3 linked regions of the Alligator mississippiensis genome follow. The protein of the gene in region 1 purifies or fractionates together with the protein of each later gene. This does not show direct contact. Links are inferred from orthologs where the notes say so. Each region holds a gene or a part of one and is shown in the gene's direction. Other genes may lie near its edges.

What was found.
Region 2: the proteins of DNAJC7 (region 1) and BLTP2 purify together in Homo sapiens (co-immunoprecipitation; 3 studies listed by BioGRID and IntAct, counting the BioPlex papers as one, with this or other methods). This does not show direct contact. The link is inferred for Alligator mississippiensis from reciprocal best matches to the Homo sapiens genes DNAJC7 and BLTP2.
Region 3: the proteins of DNAJC7 (region 1) and STIP1 purify together in Homo sapiens (affinity purification with mass spectrometry; 4 studies listed by BioGRID and IntAct, with this or other methods). This does not show direct contact. The link is inferred for Alligator mississippiensis from reciprocal best matches to the Homo sapiens genes DNAJC7 and STIP1.

The regions. Positions count from the first base shown.
Region 1 is NC_081827.1:162,909,482-162,917,381, forward strand, and holds the start of DNAJC7 (dnaJ homolog subfamily C member 7), read left to right. Parts: upstream 1-4,897; 5' UTR 4,898-4,953; coding exon 4,954-5,039; intron 5,040-7,900. Other genes in the region: NKIRAS2 (NF-kappa-B inhibitor-interacting Ras-like protein 2), read right to left, coding at 1-25, 650-743. UniProt on the Homo sapiens protein: Acts as a co-chaperone regulating the molecular chaperones HSP70 and HSP90 in folding of steroid receptors, such as the glucocorticoid receptor and the progesterone receptor.
Region 2 is NC_081837.1:1,061,769-1,069,226, reverse strand, and holds the start of BLTP2 (bridge-like lipid transfer protein family member 2), read left to right. Parts: upstream 1-4,452; 5' UTR 4,453-4,545; coding exon 4,546-4,622; intron 4,623-4,989; coding exon 4,990-5,113; intron 5,114-5,210; coding exon 5,211-5,260; intron 5,261-5,411; coding exon 5,412-5,574; intron 5,575-5,651; coding exon 5,652-5,770; intron 5,771-6,122; coding exon 6,123-6,183; intron 6,184-6,559; coding exon 6,560-6,770; intron 6,771-6,947; coding exon 6,948-7,071; intron 7,072-7,424; coding exon 7,425-7,458. Other genes in the region: SDF2 (stromal cell-derived factor 2), read left to right, coding at 1,721-1,892, 2,166-2,362, 2,927-3,214. UniProt on the Homo sapiens protein: Tube-forming lipid transport protein which binds to phosphatidylinositols and affects phosphatidylinositol-4,5-bisphosphate (PtdIns-4,5-P2) distribution.
Region 3 is NC_081838.1:4,559,911-4,567,534, reverse strand, and holds the start of STIP1 (stress-induced-phosphoprotein 1), read left to right. Parts: upstream 1-4,618; 5' UTR 4,619-4,694; coding exon 4,695-4,703; intron 4,704-6,569; coding exon 6,570-6,779; intron 6,780-7,624. Other genes in the region: ADP-ribose glycohydrolase MACROD1, read right to left, coding at 1-91, 481-582, 1,671-1,896. UniProt on the Homo sapiens protein: Acts as a co-chaperone for HSP90AA1. Mediates the association of the molecular chaperones HSPA8/HSC70 and HSP90.

The DNA.
Region 1 (7,900 bases):
TCCTGGGTCTCTATCATCTCTGAACCTGCAGGAAGGCACAGGGTGACACAGGGAACCTGGCTGCAAAGCCCTTCGTTAGCAGGGGCCATGACTTCAGCATCAGGTTTGCACCCAAGAGGTGGCCCTTAGCTACCACCACACGCCTAACAGATCCCTGCCCTTTGCCTGTCTTGTACCCAGCTCTCTGCTCATAAAGGGGCTCCCACAGATGCAGTTCTTGTGTTGCTGCTGAAGCAAAGAGAAGACAGACCCTGAAGGCAAATCTCCAGGGGCTTCTCCATACCCTCACCTCATCTGGGACCCTGACAGTGAGTGAAACCTGCCTGCCCACTTCCCCTGCTCATTGCTCTGCCAGCCTCCACACATCTGCATGCTAGTTTTTTTTTTTTAAATGGTAGATTTTATTCTCAAGAGCCGGGCAGTTCCAGTAAGATCTGCCTCCTGACTAGTGAGAGGCAGGTGCTGATTTATTATTGTAGGGTCTCTCACAAATATCCAGGCTGTGTACTAATGGTTGGTATGGTCAAGCTGCTGCTGCATCTTTCACAGCCCACAGAGAACAAAGCCTGTAATGAATGAGGAGGCCCGAAGGATCACCCCCCTGCCCCTGAGGCCCACTACAGGCCACCCACCCCACTCCCAGACTTACCAACCACATGGTTCCCATAAAGGAGCTGCTCCAGGATGGACGTTTTTCCAACGGAGGCCTGGCCACACACCACGACCTTGCAGCTCTTCCCCATCTTGATGCTCTAATCTAGGCAAGGAGGAGGAAGAGGCTGAGGCATGCATCTGCTGCAACCTGAGTGCCAGGAGAATGGACGGGAGAGTGCCAGGAGAATGCACCGCATGGCCTGGAGCCCAGCCAGGCTTCTCCAGCACTGCATATCCTCCACTGCCAAGGGAGAGGGCTGCACCCTTGCTTTCTTATTCCTCTGGCCAGCAGGGGGCAGGATGTTGGCTGTGATGTGAAGCCATTGCCCAGCACAGATGCCAGGGGCATGTCAAGACTTTAGGCTGGACAGTGACTTAGCACTATGCTTAATGTCCCTTCTCTGCCTGGAACCACTGATATGAATCCCATCAGGGCCAGGATTCCCCATCCACACCCCACAGGTCATTTCACCAAGATCTTAAAGCCAGGAGCCCTGTTGGCTCTGTGTGAATGTTTAAGGTCCCATGGGGACTTTCACCTGAAACAGGCATTGTCCCAGTGCCCCTGATCCCAATTTCCTCTCTGCCTATGGTTGAGCAGGGCGATAAAGTTTACAAAGTTTCCACCTTCCACCCTAGACCCGCGGAAACTGCCTTCCAGGAACTACTAGACTGACTCTGTGGTTTGTGTGGGTGGGAGAAAGTGAAATGTTTTTCACAACCAGAAGGGGTGGGGATCAGCCCAGGAGAGAGCAGCAGTCCCCGAGTGTCTGGTAAGTCTCTTCCGCTCCCCCCTGCCCACCACATGCCCCCTTCAAGCTCTTGTGCTGGCAGGAGACAGGAGGAAGGATAGCCATATAGCCATAGGGCAAGGCTAGGAGACATGAGTTCACTCTCTGCTTTGTCTATGGCTGCTGGACCAGTCATTGCATTTCTACTCTGGTGCTCCTCATTTTTTAAGTGGGCATAACTCTCCCCATCTCCCTGTGGGATCATGAGGGTAAATCTGCCAGCATTTCTGAGGCTCGGAGGCCAGCATGACAGGGGACAGAGCAGGCTCCAAGGAGCAAATAGGCCTTTTTCCTTCTCCCAAGCCTCTGCCTCATTCTGTGATTTTAATATCTCGGTGCCAGGGAGCATGTGGGGGCCATGTTCTGCAAACCCCCCTTGCACACCCGCACCCCTCTACACAAACACACCCTCCCTAGAGAGATCCCAGACAGGGAACTAATACACATGCAAATGACTTAAAATCCAGCTGAAGCCCAGAAGCAGACGGACATTCAAGGGAAAACCACTGGCCCCAGAGCCCATGTTCTCACTGTGGCAGGTGTGCATGGGTGCACAGTGCCAGATACAACAGGGTCCTGACCCTGACCGGGGTTGCCGCAACATGAAGGGGTGACAATGATGAAGAGCTCGGCTGTTCTTGGAAGCCAGCGTCCGGCTGCACCAGTTTCCCAGTAGAAGCCAGCTCTTGTTCAAAGGCATCTGTGAATTGTGCATGTCTGCACCCACAATCCAGATGGCCCTACACATTGCTACCAGGAGTGGTTTCTACCTACCTCTGCTCTCTTGAAGGCTCTTCCTGCTTTCTCTTCTAAAACCTTCCTATTTAACGGCTCACACTGCAACTATCAAGGAAGGGGAAACCACAGAGGACAAGACAGTGCAACCATGAGGCAAGACGGGATAAGTGCAGCAAGACAGCACCATCTAGAGTCCTTGCACACGGGCTGTGCAGTGCCTTCCTGCTCCTAGACTGGGCCACAATAAATCAGATGCAGTAATTCTAGACCAAAGAGAACCTGTCCATCCATGTGCACAATCTCAGAAGACAAGTGAACTGCGAGTAATAGGTAGTAACATTAATACTAAGGGAGGCGGCAGGCAGAGCTGTGGAAATGGGATCTTTATTGAGCCCACACAGAGGCCTGCAGTACATAATAGACTTGTGCTAGACTAGTGACTTCCAGCTTTCAAGGCTGAGCCCCTGGTGTCCCTACAAACCAGGCTTGACTGACACAATCCCTTTCTTCAGATCTGCCTCCACCAGACTGCATGAAACCTGGGGCAAGTAGGACAAGAAAACCAAAGGGAGGTAGTTAGCCATGTAGTCTGAAGTGAGGCAGAAGGCTTGGTAGCATTGTACCTAACTGAATCAGCAAGGAAAGAGACAAAGAGAAACAAGGCCATTGTACATTGAAGAAAAAGCTTTAAAAAATACATCTTTTAGATAGAACCAGACAGATGATAGATGACATTTTCCTTTCTTGGAGCACATGACGTTGTTGAGGATTTTGAAGTGAGTGAAACCTTTTGGCTGCAGACATGTGTCAATAGCCTGAAATGTTGTTACCTCACCATGGTGCTAGAGTGACCACCGAGCTTCTCTCCAGCTTTAAGAGCATTTGAGATGATTTCTCAGTTGCTGAAGCAGGGGCGGGCAATTATTTCCGGTGGAGAGCCGCTTACTGAGTTTTGGCAAGCCACTGAGAGCCGCACGACAGGCAGCCAGGGGCAGATAATTTACTTTTCTAAATTTTTTAGGGCCCCCACAGGCCAGATAGAATGGCCTGGTGGGCCACATCTGGCCCGTGGGTCACGTTTTGCCCACCCCTGTGCTAAAGGCTCATGCCAAAGACTTTTTGAGGGTGAGGAGAGAGAGCGATGAATTTAAGAGGCATCATTGCTATAAGGAATATTTAATTATTTATGGAGGAGGCAGCAATTTCGACAGAAAATTAAGATTTGGCCATTGCTCCAATGATTGGTCAGCTAAATGCAACCATACAAGGCAGCCCTGATCCTGCCAATCCAACCATGAAGGGCTGTTTTCTGCTCCATGCTTGCCACCCTGCCACAGACAGCAAATATCTGCATAATTGGGGGGGGGGGGGGGGGTCCTCCGAAGGGCCTCAGAAATGGAAGATACCAAGAGACAAGGGCAGGAAAAGGAGAGGTGTGAAACTAGAACTGAGTGTCACCCAGACGTTTGAGACAGGGTTGATTATGCAGTGAGTTCCCAGTTGAACCCCTGCACTTGCCCAAGCAGAGGTCCTTGCAGAAACAGGCTATAAGGCATGCTTGCAGTTCGGTGTTTAAGATCTTAATTATTACTTCAGGTAATTATTATCCCTCAGTGTTGCTAAGGCTGGGTGCTGCATGGGGGTGGTACAGGGGGAAGATGTTTTGCAGCTGGAGGCCACTCAGAACAACAGTATTACTGTGATTTATGATCCATGTCACAGCTGCACCTAGGAATGCTACTCAGTGTCCTCAGCACTGCATGGGCAGCAAGCACACGGTGGTGCTTGCCATATCATATCACTGGGCATACTTCCAGTGCTGCAACCGTCTCAAGTTACAGCAAGGGAAATTGAGGTTAGATATTAGGAGAAACTTTCTCACTGGGAGGGTGGCGAAGCACTGGAACAGGCAACCCAGAGAGACTGTGGGCTCTCCATCCTTGGAGGTTTCTAAGCCCTGGATAGACAAAGCCTTGACTGGGACGATCTGGTTGGGGCTGGTCCTGCTTTGAGCAGGGGGCTGGACGAGATGACTCCTGAGGTCCCTCCGTTTCTATTTCTACCATGTTTCCACTAATCCACCTAGCCTTTCTGCTGCTGCTCTGCTGTCTGGGATCTGCTCCTGCAGCCTGTTTTTATCTTTAGCCAAAAACATCCACTCTGGTTTGGAAATACTAATTCAAGTGAACGTTAACTTTCAGCAAAGTGCTGGAGGCAGCATCCAGATGATCAGGAAGGCCAGGTTGCATTTTCTGACCCTGCAAGAGAGGCGGTCCACTTCATTCGAATGCCGGCGGGGTGAACGAGGTGACTTGGATTATTTCTGCCTCGCCTGTTGCATTTGCGCACCTAATGTGGGAGCTAGCAAATGATGGCATCTTCCAATAGAGGCTTTCCTCCCTCTCACCTTTATTCAATCTTAAACTGAACAATGCAGTCCAAGGCCCCTGGCTTATTAGTACAGCTTCTAGTTTCTTTTTTCACTGAGGAAAAATGTGTGTTATATGCCATGATGCACCACATCCTCTGCACCCCCTTTTCAAGATCCTATGCTCTACCCATACTCACACACTCGCACATCCTCCCTCCCCGGGCCATCTCCTGCCACCCTCCGCTCTCATCCCCCCTCCCCTGTCGGACGCGGAGTCCGTCTTGGCGGACCGCAGGGGCCTCTCCTCGTTCCCGGAAGTCCGTGCCTCTTCCGGCCCCATCCCTCCCCCCCGCCCGCTCCTCCCTGCCTCCCCTGCCCGGGTCCCGGCTCGGCGGTAAGATGGCGGCGGCGGCGGCCGAGTGCGATGTGATCATGGCGGCGCCCGAGGGGCCGGGCGGGCTGGACAGCGACGAGGAGGCGCGGAGGTAGCGGGCGGCCTGCGCGGGGGCCGGGCCGGGTAGGGTCGGGTCAGGGCGCGGGGGAGGCGCGTCCCCCCCTTCCCGAGCGGCTGGGGCTGGGACTGGCGGTGCCCGGCCCTGCGGGGCCTCCCCCGGGCAGCAGCAGCAGCAGCAGGGGATGCGGAGAGCCGCGAGCCAGCTGCAGCGGGGAGACGAGGCTGGTGTGAGGAGGAGCTGACTCCCCGGGAGGGCAGCGGAGCAGGGCAGGCGGTGGGGTCTCCAGGCTTGAAGCCCTGCTGGTTTGAGCGGGGAGAGCGGGCGAGGCGCCCTCCCGAGGTCCCTCCAGCCTCGCTTCCTAGGACTCTGTCTGCCAGGGGAGGCGGCTGGGGGCTGCGGGAGCAGCTCTCTTCCCCACGTTTTCTGTGCTCCCTTGGCCGCCCACCCACAGCCGGGCCCCGGGCCGGGTGCTGGCTGCGCAGCCCCACCTTGCAGCCCTTGGCCCCCCCACCCCGTCGGCGCTGGCTTGCTGCAGGATCTGTGGCCCCTGCCCTGTGTTCAGCGGGAGTGTCCTGCAGCCGCCCGGGCGCCCCTGTGGTCAGGGTGGTTTTGGCCTGCGTGTGGCATCATGTGCTGAGGGCTGTCCTGGGTCAATCCAAGCTTGATGCCTCTGAGCAGCCCCTGCTCTCCACTGCCCAGTCTTGTGCTTAAAAGGAAGCAAGCTGGAGAAAAGCAGCAAAGCCGGGCTTTGAAACCTGGCTCCTTTTCAGGACAGGAGTGCTGTGGAGGTGGCACGCTCCAGCCTTTATCATCCCTGTGTGGGGGCAGCATTGCCTTGTGTCTGAAGGCTTTCTCCGACAAGCAACGCTAAAGGGTTAATCCATGTATGGGGCGGGGAGGGGAATCCTTTGGCTGGGAGCCTGTGGGAAAGAAGCAGGAGGGAAGACTCTTAGCACAAAATCCCCTCCCCTTCTCTCATACTTACTGCCCTGGGACTTCATAGTTTCTATTTTATTGCATCTCCTCCTTCACCTTGTATGATCAGAGATTCCTGATAGCCCAGAGCAACCTACGTCTCAGCCACACCCTCAGATACCTGTCCCATGCTGCCCTGCTTCCTTGGAAAAGGGCCTTTGGGTATGTATACTGGAGTACAGGATCCAGTCTTGAAAATACTAGTACGAACGAGCTCTTGGCTACCACCCCCTCCCCTTGGTTATTATTAAAGCTTATTTTATCTGTGGAAAGGCCAAATCTCTTTCATCTCTAAAGCTACTCAGCAGACTCTGCCCAGAGGTGCAGATACCACTGGCTGAGACTGGGCACAGTGGAATCCCAGCCTTTTCCCTTGCTTATGAATTTTCTTTTTGAGCGCAAAGGTTTCTGTTGCCACCTGCTGCTGACCTGTTATAGTCTCAGCAGGAGGTGAAATGAAAAGGACAGCCTATAGAAAACACAGTGCTGGTTCCACAGGGTTTAAACCTGCCAGGCTGAAACTTTGTAGCCTGTGATCACCAGAAAGAAAAAACAAAATCTCTGAAGGTGGGTTCTTGCAGAGACCTGGTTGAACGATGGAAGCCTGGAAAGAAATTAAACTGAAGGGGCCTGAGGTAGTTATGCTACTTATTAACTGTCAAAGGTGGAGGGCCAAGTGACAACACTAGAAGCACTTCAACACCATAGAGAAATATAAAATATGTTTTTTAAAGCATCTGGGCATTGGGCATTGGACACAAAGAATGTCAGAGAGGTGTGGACATAGTAGTGCTGGAGAAGTTGTGTGTGAATCACTACTCAGTATTATTGTGCCTAATACTGTTGCTTTTGTTATTGTCTCCAAGGCTTTGCTTTCAGTGGTTGAGTGTAAAATGTGATCGGTATCGTGACTCGGGCTCAGTCTTTCAGTTACAGCGACCTTTAGTACCAGCCTTTCTTGTGCCCCAGAACCTGTGAAAAGGGACTTGTACTGGTCCGGAAACAGAAAAGCTGAGCTTGTTCAGGAGAGTGGTTTCCTGGCTTGTAGTAAAGGAATCCTTCAGGGGTGGAGAGCAAAGGTAACCTGGCTGACCTCCACTGTCTTACCGTGGTGTAACCAGTAAGACAGATTCTGGTCCTAGGTTGCGAATGTTCAGTTCTCCGACAATATGTTTCTTTCTGAGTGTTGGGCTCCCAAGCTCTATGTTCTCCCTTTGGGTGATTCTTATTGAGGGAACAGTACTGCAACACGGCTTCAGCATCATCACAATTTCTGTGCTACTTCCAGGCTTACTGCTGCCTTCTCAGAGAGCTTGGAATTTAAAGACTATTTGAGCAGAGGCCTGGGGTCAAGAGCCTCCTGTCAGTCTCATCTCTGCCATTGCTTTGTTAAGGAAAATTGCTTAACTTCTCTGGCCCTGTTGATCCCTTTGCAAAACAAGAGTAATTCTTAGCTACCTCAGAGACAGAATTAGCACTTGTATGTGTAAAGCACGTTGAACTGTGTGAAGTGCTCTATTGGCATTCTTGGACAGAGGGAGACTACAAGTTACAGACCGAATGTTTTACTATGGGTTTTACAGGGTGAGTGGGTTATTTGAAAGCTCGCGTGAATCATTTCAAATAAGTCTGCAGGTCTGTTTTCGCTCTTTCTGGCCTTCTGTAATTCAGTATGCAATGAAAATTATGACCAGGATAAAAAAATGTTTTGTTTCTAGACTAAGCTTTGCCTGAATATACTGCAGTGTGGTCCACTGTGGCGGGGAGGGAGGAGGCAGGAATACTTCTGATCACTGTGGCTGGGTAAACGGGGAGAGAGGAGCAATGCAGTGATTCATATTTCTGTATTACCATACTAGCAATGCACTGAAACAGCTGCAAGTAAACTGAATTTACAGGTTGGTTCAGAGACTTAC
Region 2 (7,458 bases), on another chromosome or scaffold:
ATGGTGCGCAACTGCGCACAATGCTACGGAGCACAACTGTGCATTATGGTGCACAACCATGCATAAAGTTATGGTGCACAACTGCACGCTACGGTGCGCAACTGCGCACAATGCTACGGTGCACAACTGCACGCTATGGTGCACAACCATGCATAATGTTATGGTGAACAACTGCACGCTATGGTGCGCAACTGCGCACAATGCTACGGTGCACAACTGCACGCTATGGTGCACAACCATGCATAATGTTATGGTGAACAACTGCACGCTATGGTGCGCAACTGCACACAATGCTACGGTGCGCAACTGCGCACAACGCTACGGTGCGCAACTGCGCACAACGCTACGGTGCGCAACTGCACGCTACGGTGCGCAACTGCGCACAACGCTACGGTGCGCAACTGCACGCTACGGTGCGCAACTGCGCACAACGCTACGGTGCGCAACTGCACGCTACGGTGCGCAACTGCGCACAACGCTACGGTGCACAACTGCACGCTACGGTGCGCAACTGCGCACAACGCTACGGTGCACAACTGCACGCTACGGTGCGCAACTGCGCACAACGCTACGGTGCACAACTGCACGCTATGGTGCGCAACTGTGCACAATGCTATGGCGCACAACTGTGCATAATGCTACGGTGCACAACTGCATGCTATGGTGCACAACTGTGCACAACGCTACAGTGCACAACTGCGCATTAGGGTGCACAACCATGCATAATGTTATGGTGCACAACTGCACGCTATGGTACGCAACTGCGCACAATGCTACGGTGCGCAACTGCACGCTATGGTGCGCAACTGCACACAATGGTACAGTGCACAACTGCACATTATGGTGCACAACCATTCATAATGTTATGGTGCGCAACTGCGCACAATGCTCCGGTGCACACGATGCACGTTACGGCGCACAACTGCGCATACCCCCATGCTGGCAGGCGAGGGTCCGCACCTGGCCCGGTCTCCGCGGAGCGCAGCCCACTAGACCCCGTGTCCGGTGCTGCGGACAGGAGACCCGCAGGCGCGCAGAACAGGGCTCGGGCCCGGGACCCCCCGGGGCGCGGGGGCCGGCCCACGGGACACAGGCCGCGCCGCGTGCCCGTAGCGACGCCGAGTGCCCGGGCGGCCTGGCCGCCCCGCCCGCCCGCCCGCCCGTGTCGGGGCGGCGGCTGAGGCCCGTGGCCCGGGGCCGTGACGTAGCCGGACGAAGGGGAGGCCGTGGAGTAACCCAGAGGCCTTCACGGGCAGCGAGAGGCGGCCCTGTGTCCCGGGGGGAGGGGGGGCGGCGGCGCCCCGGGCCCGGGCTGTTTCTCTGCGGGGCTTGGTGGGCAGACCCCGAGGCCTCGTGCGGCCCCCTCGCTCGCCCCCGCGGTTTCCACGGCAACCCCACCCCCGGTTTCCACGGCAACCAGTGCCCCCCGGCCGCCCCGCGAGGGGACACGCCCGCGGCCGTGGCCGAGGGGAGGCGAAGCCGCCGCCGCCCCCGCCGGAGCCCCGCGCGCGGCCTCACCTGCCGCTCGGGGCCGAAGGGAAAATGGAGGCCTCCGCCGCTGCGGAGAGGGGAGCAGACGAGCCGCGCCCTCCCAGCGCGGAGACAGCCTCACTTCCGCTTCCGGCCCCCACCCTCCACGGGGTTTCCGGCCCTTCCGTCCGTCGCACTCTATGGTTCCGGCGCGGCGGGGCCGCTTCCGCTTCCGGCGGCGGGGGGGAGGATGCGGCTGCTGCTGCTGGCGGAGCTGGCGCTAGGGTTGGCGCTGGGGTTGGGCGCGGCGGCGGCGGGCGGTGGTTCCGAGCCCGACGCCGTCACCTGCGGCTCTGTCGTGAAGCTGCTCAACGTGCGCCACAACGTGCGGCTGCACTCGCATGACGTGCGCTACGGATCCGGTACCGGCCGGGGGGGGGGGGCACTGGGGATCGGGGCCGGGGGGGGGGAGGGGCAGCGCCGTCCCCAGTCTGGGCTGCAGCCGCACTGGGTGCCTTTGGGAGAGGGGAAAATGCCCCCCTCTCCCCGCCCATACACCTAGTAGCAGGAGGGGAACAAATTGCTCCCCGTCCCCACGTGGCAACTGGCAAAGCCCAGCCCGGGGCGGAGCAGGGGCATCGCTGCTGAGCGCCTCCGGCGATGGAGATCCCACGGTTTCCCTTTCGGTCGCTCAGGCAGCGGGCAGCAGTCGGTGACGGGCGTCTCGGCCGTGGACGACAGCAACAGCTACTGGAGGATTCGGGGAAAGACCTCCACGGTGTGCGGGAGGGGGACGCCCGTGAAGTGCGGGCAGTCCATCCGGCTGACCCACATCAACACGGGGAGGAACCTGCACAGCCACCACTTCACCTCGCCCCTCTCAGGCAACCAGGTAAGTCCTGGAGGTCGGACCCGGCGGCCGCCTCCGCACGCTGCTCCCGTTCCCTGCCGAGGGGCTGGCTTGGCCTTCACCTACACATGTCTCTCCTCAGCGAGAGGTTGGTGCTTCTGCCTGGACGTGAGCAAGATGAGTCCAGGTCTGGCTGATAGCTGGACTGGTGATTTCCTGTGACGGCGGGATCGTGCTTTTGCAGACCTAGGGCAGGGGACAGGGTTGCGTGCTCTCCCTGCAGCAGAGGGAAGGGGAGGCGCTTAGTCGCTGCTTTGGAAAGGCAGGTTCTTGGGGAAGTGCTGCCTGTGTTCACAGCTGTGAAGCTATCCTGGGGCTGAGCTGCATTCCCAACTGGACAAGATGATGATGTCCCTGTGGGGAGGGAGGAGGAACATGGGGGCATGCCCCTTACATCTGATGCAGAGCCGCATATTCAGCCCCTGGTCGGGGTTTTGGAGCTCGTTTTCCAAGACTGCATCCAGCCCACGCCACGAGTACGAATGTTTCTGCCCTAGGCCATGGCTAACGTGTCAACGCCTTGTACTCTTGCTGCATTTGTTCCAGGAGGTCAGCGCGTTTGGGGAGGACGGCGAGGGAGACTACCTGGATGACTGGACGGTGGTGTGCAGCGGGCCGTACTGGGCGCGTGACAGCGAGGTGCGGTTCAAGCACTCCTCCACTGACGTCTTCCTCTCTGTGACTGGGGAGCAGTATGGACGGCCCATCCACGGCCAGAAGGAAGTGCACGGCATGTCCTACTCTAACCAGAACAACTACTGGAAGGTCATGGAAGGGATCTTCATGAAACCCAGCGAGCTGCTGAGAATGGATCCCTACCATTCTGAGTTATGACGGACTGTGCTGGAGCTTCCCAGCGTTGCAGTACCTTTACCACAAGTGTTCAGCTCCTGTAGGGACCTTCTGCTTCCAGGAGCCTTTGCAGCAGCTCTCAGTTGCTGGAGCAGTTGGGCACAGGCCAGGGAACAGAGCCCTTGTTCCCCTTCTCTTTCCTTGCCTGGGTCTCGTTATCCCTGTTGGTCTAGGCTCCATCTGTTGCAACAGGCTCCTCTCACAGCAGGTTCCCCCCTCCTGCAGAGGTGCTAAGCCAAACTCCCACAGAAAAAGGGACCATTCGTGACTTGCTTTCATCACCTTGCAGCGAGCCTGTTCTCACTGTCACGGTTTCATTTGTTTGTCTCTGTGAGTTCTGTATTGCTGACGTTCATGCACAGACACGTCCTGGGGCGAACTGCTGATGAGCTCGGCCATAAAAGAATTTACTTCTCTAAGGGCGCGCGCAGTTTTGTTCTGCTCCTATGTGCACGGGGACAGAATTGCTCCCCTCCAAGCATCACACTCAGCAACAGCTCCTGTGGGAGGGGTGTGGGTGGGTGGTGCGCCCTCCCTTCATAAGCAGAACAATAAAAGCAACAGCTCAGCCAAAAAACAGCAGTGGCTGCAAGATAAGAAACTGCAGAGAACTTCCTTCATGTCACATGGGCTCAGAAAAGGAGCTGTGCTGATACCAGGAAGGGGAAGCTGGGCTGGAAGAGGGGACAAGTGCGGGTTAGGTGGGTTTAAATGACACAATTGAGCCTCTATTCCACGAGCCCCTCAGCATTGCTCTGTCAGGGGTCTGGAGGGGGCAAAGCCCAGGCTGCAGCCAGGGATGGTCAAGTTCGCAGCGTCTGCCTGCGTCCGACACCTAAAAGGAGAGGTTCCCACTTGGCCTCTGGGACACGGCACGGCTTGGGGCACGCCAGCCTGGCCTGTGCTCGCGGGACAAAGCGGCCGGCTCTGGTGAATTATGGCCCCTGGAGAGCTGCCAGGAGGAGGAAGGCTCGGGTGGTGCATGGGCAAGGAGGGGGGCAACATGCAGGGCGCCCCTGCACCACTGTCCGGTTCCAGCCCCCGGGAGGGTGGAAAGCCCCCTTTGCCCGGCGCCCTACAACAACCAGCCCGGCCTCGCCGAGCCCAGGACACGTGCCCCCTCTAGCCCCGCCCCTCCCGCCAGGCCCCGCCCCGTGGCGCAGGCGCAGCAGGTGACGCTCACTCCGGGGGCGCTCACGCTCGGCCCGCCCGCACTCTGGGCGCGCTGCCGGTCGGCCCGCGGGCGGCGCCGGGCCCGTGGCGGACGGAGCGGCCGGTGCCAGGCGCGGGGGCCGGGCGGGCCCGGGGGCGTCATGCTGCCGCCGCCGCCGCTCCCCGCCGCGCTGCTCGGGCTGGCGCTGGCGCTGGGCGCGCTGCTGCTGCTGGCGCGGTGAGGGCGGGCGCGACCCCCGACCCGGGCGCCTCCTGGGTCCTGCCGCCGCCCGCCCACGCCCAGTGCGGGGGGGCGGGGGCGGTGCTAGGGGTGCCCGGGGCCCAGGCTGCAGGTGCGGGGGGGACCACCGGTGCCTGGGGACCAGGGTGCAGGTGCCAGAGGGGCCCGGGGAGCAGGTGCCAGGGGGGCATGGGGTGCAGGTGCTGGAGGGGATACGTGGGGTGCCAGGAGGGCATGGGGGGTGCCCGGGGTGCAGGTGCTGGAGGGAATATGGGGGGTGGCTGGGGCGCAGGTGCCAGGGGGGCACGGGGGGAGCAGGTTTCGGGGTGCCCGTGGCCGGCGCTGACGCGCGCTGCGCCCGCAGGTGGCTGCTGTGCCGCCTGGCCGTGCGCTGGTGCCGGCGGCGGCTCCGCGCCGAGCTGCGGGTCGGCGGCTTCCTGCGGCTCCGCAACATCAGCCTCGAGTTCCCGCAGGAGCAGCGGGTCGTGGTGGGTACCGGGCCTTGCCCCCCCCCTTCCCAGCGCCCTCCCGAAAGCAGCGCGGTCGGGCGGCAGAGCCCGCTGACTCGCCTCTGTCCCCCCGCAGGAGATCGACAGCGTCTGGATCTCCAGCAAGCTGCTGAGCCACGACCTGCCGTGCGTACCCCGGGATCCCCGCTGCGTTGGCCGGGGGCTCCGCCGGCCCTGGCACCGGGGCTGCGCCGGGCAGCACGTGGGAGCACCCGTGGGTGGCTGGGCCGCCCCGGGGGGAGCCGTAGTCACGGCCTGGCGCTGTTTCCCCGTCCAGGCGCTACCTGGCGTTGTGCTTCGGGGAGGTGCGGATCCGCCTGGACTTGCAGAAGGCCCCCGGGCGCCTGCCCCCGTTCCCCGCGGCTCCCGGGGATGGCGGCGGTGAGGAGGGCGAGCGGGAGCTGCCCGTGAAGCCCTCCCTGCTGCGAGTCCTGAGCCAGGTGAGGCCTGGAGGAGCAGGGGTGCTGGGGGGGCGGGGGGCTCCCCCCAACCGTCCTCACTGCCTCCCTGTCCTCAGCTCGTCTCCGTGCACGTGGACTCCGTCAACATCATGGTGCTGCACATGGCCACCTCCGAGTCGCTCTGGCACATCCAGGTCACCAGGACCCGGCTCCTGCTGGACAGCGACGGCAGGAGGTAACGCGGCGGGCGGGGGCCAGGGGTCAGCTGCCCACAACCAGGAGAGCCCTGCCCAGCCCCCACCTCGCACGTGACCCCTCCTTGCTGGGCAGCACACGGCCACCGCTTGGCCCATCTGCCGCTCGAGGCCGCGCGGTGGTGGTCCTGGAGCCCTCTCCCCGGGGACCTGGACCGTGCTGGTACCCAGCGGGCCCTCCTGAGGGTGGGTCAGGTGCCCTCTGCCCAAGAACGCGCCGTGGCAGCCTGCTCCCCGTTGCAGCGGCGGTAGCTCGGGTTTGGGGCAGGGAAGGGCCTGCCTGGGGCAGCAGTGGAGGCAGGTGGGGCTCATCTCCCTTCTGCTGCCCCCCAGCCTGGACTGCGAGGTGACCTTGACGCAGGTGAACAGCAAGGTGCTGAGGAGCAGCCAGCTGGTGAGTGTCGGGGCCTGGGCCCCTGGGGAGGAGGCTGGGGCTGCAGCTGGAGCTCTGGGAGGAACCGCACCGTTGCTGCCGTCCCTGCCGAGCGCGGCTGAGGCTGTGGCACCAGGAGACCTGGAGCCGGCTCCGGAGCACGTGGGCTCCTCTAGTGGGAGGTGCCAGCTGGACACGAAACCCGCAGCAGAGGACGGGGCAGGGCTTGGTCCCCGGGAGGGGCGGCAGGATGCTGCGGTGGCCTGCGCTGGGCGCTGAGACCAGGCTGTGCTCAGGCATTGCTGGGCAGGGGAAGGGCAGGCAGGAAGCTCTGCCTTGAGCAGGGCCTCCCCTGGGAGGTTGGCAGGCTCCTCGACTCCCTCCTTTCCCCCCACAGGATGACACGTGCCTGGCGGAGCTGGCGCTGGCGCTCTCCCTCTCTGTGCAGGTCAGCTTGAGCAAGCGGCAGCTGACGGGCATCAGCTTGGGCGTGTGGACTCTGCAGGCCGAGCTGCACGAGGGGCTGTTCAGCAGCGAGCTGCTGCGCCGGGTGGCCCACAGCGAGAGACGGAGCCGCGCCAGGGACCCACCTGCTGACCCTGCCCCAGGTCTGGTCTTCATACCTGGGGAGGCGGTGGGGGTGGGGAATGGGTACCTGGGGCCCCCTGGGCTCTCTGCGGCCCTAGGGGTGTGGTGGGAGCTGGGCTGGGGGCAGTAGGGCTGGATGCTACCAGGGAGGAGCGGGGAGCTCTAGGCTCGATGGCTTATGACTGTGCCCCTCTCAGGCCCTGAGGCAGCTCCCACAGCGCTGTCTTCTCTGGGTGTGGGTGCCCTGCAGCTCATCCCCAACAAGGTGAAGGTGCAGCTGGAGAGCACTAGCGTGGTGCTGTCAATGAACAGCCAGAAGAGGTAATGGTGGGGCAGAGAATGGGTCCAGTGCCTGTGCCTGCAGGGGCTGTTGTGCTACTTGTCCCTGGTGCAGGGGCTCTTCTGCCCGTGGTGCCTGGTTTCTGCCTATCCTCCTTGGCTGTGAGCCTGTGGCAGGCAAGAATGCCCCAGGGGGCTCTGTGCAGAGCCAGGCAGCGGCTCTGGGGCAGAATGAGTGTGGTCTTAGGGGTGGGGGCAGCAGGCAGTTGCCCCTTGGAGACGAGGAGACCGCCAGCTGGTGCGCGCTGGGCTGGGAGGCAGGGAGGCAGGGCGGCAGGGGCAGTGGTGCGACAGGCCCTCCCCTCACGCCCTGCACCCGGGGCCGGCTGCTGCAGGCACCTCACGTGGACCCTGAAGCTGCTGCAGTTC
Region 3 (7,624 bases), on another chromosome or scaffold:
TTGGTGATGTCATGACGCAGCAACGAGATCTTCTCATTAAGGGCTGCATCCTTGGGAAACTTGGCCCCCTCAGGCTGCTTCACATGGGCATCTGGGGAGGCACGGGGGGGGTGTCACTCCTGCCCTTGAGCCTCCCAGCCCTGCCAGTGACCCTCATGCCCAACCCGCAGCTCCCTGATGCCCCCAGCCCTGCCAGTCCCCCTCGCTTCCAACCCACAACCTCCCCCCACCTCTGCCAGTGCCCCTCACTCCCGACCTGTAGTCCCTTGCTCCCCCAGTGCCCCTCACTCCTAACCCATGCACCTGCCCACCGGTGCCCCTCGCTCCCAACCTGCAGCCCCCTCCCCACATGAGCTTTGGCTCCGAGCCCCCATTATCCCAGCCCTATGAGTTAACCTTGGATATAACACCTGCTTCTTCAACCTGTCCCCTCCCCCAAACCCGGCTTAATCTAAATTAAGTCTCCATGTGGACACTCACTCTTAGCCATCTTCTTCCAGGTGTCAATGCTCTTCAGAGGGAGGAAGTCCTTGGTGAAGTAATGCTCCCGCCGCTGCTTCTGGCTCAGGCCACTCAGATACTCTGCAAGGGGGAAGATGGGTAAACTGAGGCGCAGAGCAGCAAACTAGTTGGGGAGCAGGGGGGACAAGTCCCAGGCTCCAGGCCCCTCTGCTCTCACCCCCCAGCCCCACTCTCCTCCCAGAGCTGGAGAGGACCCAGGTGTCCTGGCAGGGCCCGGCCGGTTTCCTACTCCCCTGCCTGGCACTGCTCTCCTCCAAAATGACGGCTGTCACCTAGGGAACAAGCCCCCAGCTTGGCGCTGCCCAGGCCCACCCAACAGGGAAGTGTCCTCAGTGTCCCCCAAGGGTCCCTTCAGGCCCCGTTGCCATAGTGACTAGAAGGCCTTGGGCCTCATCCGGCCTCTGGGGTGGGTCGGTCCTAGGCCCCAGGCCTCCTGGGCCTATTTCCATGGCAACCTCTAGCCACCCCCACCCCACTGCACTGGGCCTGACACCTAGGTCCGAGGCCTCACCGGGCTGTTTCCATAGCAACGCCAAGCCCCCACCACGCCTCCCTGGGCTTGACACCCATTTCCATGGTAACTACTAGGCCCAAGGCCTCACTGTGCCCTTTTCCATGGCAACTTCTAGGCCCTGGGCCCCTTGCTGGGTGGCATGTAGGCTTTAGGCCTCACCAGGCCTCACCCTGCCGGTGGTGAGCTCTAGGCCCCAGGCCTCACTGGGCCTGTTTCCATGGTGACCTGTAGCCCTGCCCTCTGCCCCCCAGGGCTTCTTGGCACCCTCTAGGCCTCAGTGTCCTCTAGGCCCAGCAGCGCCAGGCAGGCACTCCCAGAATCCTTTGCACCACTAGCAGCTGCTGGCAAGCACCCACGGCTGCTCTCAGTGCAAAGGATTCTGGGAGTCCCGCCACCCCCTTGGCACAAACCGCAGCATTGCCCGGAGAGTCCTGCCACCCCCTTGGCACAAACCCCTAAACTTTGGCACGCCCTAAACTGGTGCAGGCCTGGCCTGGAGACCCCCACACTGTGCCTAGCAAAGGGACAAGGGCAGGGCATGGAGCTGGGCACACCTACAGCAGCCAGAGGGGGCACAGGCCTGGGGGGAGCAGGGGGCTATGCCCGGTTGCCCTCCACCTCCCCAGGCACTTACTTTTTGCCTCCTTCCAGTCGGTGGAAGTGGTGAGGTCCACTTTGGCCGCCATGTGCAGTGGGGGGGCACCCGCCCAGGTCCGGAGCGCGCCCCGGGGTAGAGAGCAATCGCCCAAGTGAACTGCCCCCCTCCAGAGAGCCCCCAGCACCCCGGGGCGCCCGACCCAGCCCCCCAGCACCTGCCCTGCCACTCTCAGGGCCTGAATGCCAAACAGAGCCACTGGCATGGTCGCAAAGAGATGCCCCCCCTCCCGGCGCTGGTTGGTCCCTGAGTGCAAGAGGGAAATTCTTCTCCCTTATTTATTGCACCTGGTATTTAGCTGGGGGGGGGGAGGGAAGGCGGAATCCGTCCTGCTTGAGCAAAGCTGGGCTAGGAGCAAGCTCTGCCCAGAGCTTAATGCAAAGGATGCTGGGAAATGTAGTCCCCGCCCTAACCCCATCTCCGTGCAGAGGCTCTGTTTCGGGAGGACGGGGGCTGGGAGCCAGGCACCTTCTCGTCCCACTTCGGGAGGGGAGTGCAGCCTGGGGGGCTGGTTAGAGGAGGGACGGCCGGGGCCCAGATGCCTGGCTTCTCTCCCTGCTCTGGGAGCTGGGGACTGAGAGCAAGGGGCTGGGAGCCCGGACGCCTGGGGCCTCCCCCTGGTCTGAGGGAAGTGGGGGCTGAGGGGTTGGAGTAAGGGAGGTCTGGGAGCCTGGACACCTGGGTTCTCTGCCTGCGGTGCGATACCCCCTCTGGAGCAGAAACCCAGCCCCATGCTTCGACCTCTGACCCCTTCCACCTCCTGCCCCAGCCCAAAACCTCTTTGCAGCCAGCCAGGGCTTCAACTACAGCTCCTGGCATGCTGAGCAGAGCCTCCAGGGCCTGCCCCCCTCAGCCCCCTCCTTGTGCACAAGCAGGGAGACTGCCTGCTTCTAAAGGCAATGCCCTTGCAAAGGGGGCTGGAGTTGGACTGGGATCATATCCCCCCTCCCCCTATAACCAGAGCTCTGGCTATTTAAACCCAATGCTTGGGGAGGTGGGGGCTATAAATAGCTCGTGGCTGCCTGATCTTGCTGGCTGCTTCAACCATGGGCTATGTTTAGCCCTACACCCTGTGTGCTGACAGTCAGGGCCTTTTGCTGAGCCCCACATGCTATGTGAAACCCTGGGCCAGAGGAACATGCATCAGCTTAAAAGAAACCTCCAGGCAGGAAGAAGAGCACAAGATATATATATATATATATATATATATATATATATATATATACATACACACACACACATACACACATCTCATCTAGCATAAAACTTTCCATCACACACCTTAAACCACATTAAGAAACCGCGCACCCATTACAGAGGAGAACAAGACACTTTGCACTGAACAGAGGTGGCCACATGAGCTGTGCAAAGCTGTTGCACAAGCCTGCTGGGGTGTGGGATAGTGCTTTTTACCACAGGGAAACTGAGGCAGGGATAACAGCAGGGATAGAAAGACCCCAAGCATCCTGGCTCCAGCCCCTCCCCCGGCCATACTGTGGGCACTGCACCCCAGGCCCATTACTGCAGACAGAACCCAGGAGTCCTGGTTCCTCAGTGGTCCCTAAGCCACTAGCCCTCTCCTGCCCAGGCCACATCTCAGGACAGACCCAGGTGTCCTGGCTCCTTCCTACCCCCTCGCCTAAAACCCACCCACTGGAGCCCAGGTTACCTGCCGCTTCCCACCCCCGGCAGCTCCGCTGGGAGATTTGGCTGTCCCACAGGCAAGCACTTCCACCCAAAGCCTCTCCCCGAGATCCCGAGCTGGCAGTCATGCATGGTGGTGACCACACAGGGCACCAGGTTCACGGACATTGTGAATGCCCAAGAGCCGAGGTGAGGTATGTGTACGCACGGGACATCACATGTACTGGAGGCATGCAAAACATGAGTGTTGGAGACGCACACACGCGTCATGCATATGAAGCATAGGAACCAGTGCCAGAGGGACACACGCATCTTACACAACTTATGCATTGCCCTAGAAATGGGCCCAGCAAGGCCTGGGGCCAAGGTGGCAGGCCCAGTGAGGTTGGAAGCGTAGAGGCAACAGGATCTGACAGGACCTCAAGACCTTGGGGGGCATCCTCAGTAAGGGGGCCTGGGCAGCACCAAGCAGAGGGGGCTTGTTCCCTGGGCAACAGCCCTCATTTTGGAGTGTGGCCGAGCCAGGCAGGGGAGTGTGAAACCCAGCAGGATGCCTGGGACCTCTCCCCAGTGGGCTGGAGCAGGGGGAGGCGAAAGCCCACGCACCTGGCAGGAGGGGTACGAGTAATTGTGCAAGCTCCCCTTGCAGGGCAGGGGCACGAGTGGGGACTGAAACACAAGACCTCCCCTCCTCATCCCCTGCCTGCCAGGAACAGGCCCTCCAGGCTCTGCCAAGTGCACCAGGACCCCGGGGCTCCCCGCGTTGAACTCCCCAGGTCACACGTGGGCAGAGACCACCTAACAGCGCAACACAACAACCAGTGTGCCCACACGACACACTTCCCGCCAGCGGCTCAGCGCCGCCTTTTAAAGGACCACGGGCGGTGACGTCTCTCTGGAGTGGCCCAATCAGAACGCCGCACTCCGGCGTGGCGTCACGGCGTTGCGGCCAGCCAATGAAAGGACGCAAAATCCCAGGATGGGAGGGGGGCCTTTGAGGGATGGAAAGGCCGTTGGACCAATGGACGCTGAGAGGCGAGCAGCAGCCAATCGGAAGAGAGAGGGCGGGGCTCAGTTGTCAGGCGGGAGCCAATGACATCAGGCATGGGGAGCGAGGGACGGCAGAGGGCTTGATTGACAGGTACTGAGGATCAATGAGAAGAGGGAATGGACGGGGTGGGCGGGCCCCGCGTTCCAGCGAGGCGGTGCGGGGGCCGGGACGGACAGCGTCTCCCACCAATCGTGGCTCGGGGGCGGTGGGGTCCCCGCGGGCGGCGGCCAATGGGGCGGCGGGGGCGGAGCCGGGAAGCTTTCTAGCAGGTTCCAGAAGGCAGCGGTGGTCGCGGACCGGCCTGAGCCATGGAGAAGGTGGAGAAGAGGGATCTGGGGGGACGGGGGTGCTTGAGGGGTCCCCAGGGGCTGGGCGCGCTACTGGGCGGGGCTATGGGGGCTGTGGGGAAGGGGCTGCCCGCCCTGCCGCACGGGAGGGGGCTTCTGGGGGCGCCCCTGGGCGGGGGGGGGCAGGACGCGGGGGGCATTGGGGGGGGGTTCTACTGCTCCCCCACACTGTGAGAAGGGGGCGATGGGGGCAAAGGTGGGGACTGAAGGGGTTGGGGTAAATCTGGGCCTGGGGTATGTGGGAGCAGCTGTGTGGGGGGGATGTGGGGGCAGCTGTGCGGGGGGGCTGGGGGATGTGGGGGCAGCTGTGCAGGGGGGGCTGGGGCAGCTGGCAGCCTGGGGGGGTTGCATGGGGGCAGCTGTGTTGCCTGCTTCCTTGCAGCCTGAAGAGGCCCTGGCAGGGGCAGGTGGAACGAGTTCCCTGTCGTGTTTTCCCCCTCCTCCCTTGGGCCCGGCCCCGTGGGTGCTGCTCAGGGCTGGGGCCACCGCCCGCCCCTGCCTGACTGGAGGAGCTGAGACCTGTTTGTGTCGGCACCTCCCTGCTCCTCACAGGTGCCCGGTTCTCCCACCTCCGCACCTGCACTCCGGTCCCCGGCCCTGGGCCTGGGCTTCCACACGTGCAGCCCCGAGCCCTGCATCTTTGGGGCAGATCCAGGCTGGGAGGTTGAGCCTGGCACAGCTCTGTCCCCTTGTGACGGGGGCTGCTGGGCAGGGGCGGAGGGGGTATTGATGGTGTGGGATTACTGCTCCTTCCACTTCCGCAGGCAGCTGCTTGGGGGCCTTGAAGTGGTAATTATTTCCCTCTGGGTGGCCTCCGGTTTGGAGCTCAGCCCCCACAAGGCAGCTGGCAGCTTGGCTTCAGGTGCCGGATGGGGCTGGGATGCAGCGAGGTAGGGGCTGGAGACCAGGGCAGAGGCGGGCACCTGCAATCAAGTGACTCATTTTGGGGGGGGGGGGGGTCAGAAATGCTTCTTCCTGGCAGCTGTGGGCACTGATGCATGGCTTCCCAGCTGTCCCCCGTGGCACAGTTCCTCCCTACCTGATCTCCTTGGCTCGAGCTGCCTCTTTCTAGCAACGGGGAAGCACTTGTGGAGCTGCTCTCCCTGGACTTCTGCCCAGCTGCAGCCTCCAGAGGCACCGGGTGATCCCTGCTGGAAGTCTTGTCACAACATAGACCAGGCTGGGGAGGCTTAGTTTGGAGGGTAAAGTCGGTTTAGGTTGGATCTCAGGGAAAACTTAACTGCTGGAGCAGGACCGCAGTGGGAGAGAGGGCAGGAGAGCTAGGGACTCTCCATCACTGGAGGGTTCAAGGCTCTTACAGTCGTCGGTTGGGGCTGATGGGGGCATAGCGCTGCCTCTTCTACTGTGGAGATTTCCCAGGCTTCAGGCGGGGCAGTGCTGGCTGCCACCGCCCTGCCTCTGCCACTTGGGGGGGGGCGGGGTTAAGCCTTCCCCAGAGGCACTGGGTGTTGGCTGCAGCCAGGCTGGAGGTTGTAATTGCTCTGTGCGTGTGCTGCTGGGACCACAGCCGCTGGCTACAGGGTCTTGCCTCCTCTTAGGGTCAGGGCAAGACCCTGTGGGAAGGGCAAAAGGGGGAGGCAGGAATCAGCTTTGGGAAGTTCGTATCTTCCCCCAGCATCCACACCAGCTGTGCCTTCGAGGTGCCAGCTCACATCTTGGTGGGAAAGCTGAGGCAGTTGGTACAAAGCTGGCTGCAGTGATACTCTCCATGTGCTGACCGAGACCCCAAGGGTAGGGACAGGGCTGTCTGGAGCCCAGTGGCCCCTGGGAGACTTCCCGGCTGGGCTAATTCATCCCCTTCTCCCTCCCTCTCAGGTGAACGAGTTGAAGGAGAAAGGCAACAAAGCGCTGAGCGCGGGGAACATCGCTGAGGCCATCAAACACTATTCAGAGGCCATCAAGCTAGATGCCAAGAACCATGTGCTCTACAGCAACCGGTCGGCAGCCTACGCCAAGAAGGGGGAGTATCAGAGAGCGCTGGAGGATGCCTGCAAGACAGTGGAGCTCAAGCCAGAGTGGGGCAAGGTGAAGCGGGGGGACAGATCTAGCTGTATCGGAGGCTGGGTCATTCCCCAGTGGCCCCAGTCATCCGTGCCTGGGTGGAGAGTCCCATGGTAACTGGGGTGACTTCCAGCTGGGGCACAACTCATACACATCATAGGACTGATTCCTAACTGCTTTTTTCCTCCTACCACTGGTTAGATGTAGGCATGGGTGGGCTGTGAAGACACCTGGGTTCCATTACCAGCACCAGGAAGGGTCCAATAGGGTAAAACAGCCAGGTGCTGGAGTTCCTCAAAGCCCTTTCAAGCATGTAGTGGGATGCCTCATTAGCATCATTAGGCAGCTCGCAGGAGAAACCCAGGGTTGTCCAACAGGAATGCATAGTGTTCAAAATGTCCTGAGCTGTCGTGATGGGAGGCCTTTGCAAGAAAAGAGTCTCTCTCTTGTTTTTTCTGTGGTCAAGAAAGAGAAAGCTAAGAGCTGAGATTCTCCAATGGGGGTTGGAAATCTGGAGGGGGTGGGAAGCATGCTGGGAGTCTGTAGTGGGGGTGGGGTGGCCATGAGTCTGTGGGCTGGGGAAGGCAGGCTGGCTGTGGCGGGGATCAGGGGTGTTGCATCTAGTCCATACCGGTGCTCTAGACAAGACCAGCCCTGGCTAAATCAGCCCAGCTGTGTCTGAGGACAGAGACTTTCCTTCTTCCCCCACTCAGAGCCAGAAAATCCTCCCACATTCCCAGTCTCAGTTTCCCCTGCTGCCATCTCTGTCCTTGTCCTGTCCCATGTGGCCACTGGGAGTCATCTCTCTCATTCTTCCTGCTGCAGGGATAAGCCTCCTTCAGTTTTTTCTTCTCCAGACTCCCATCATC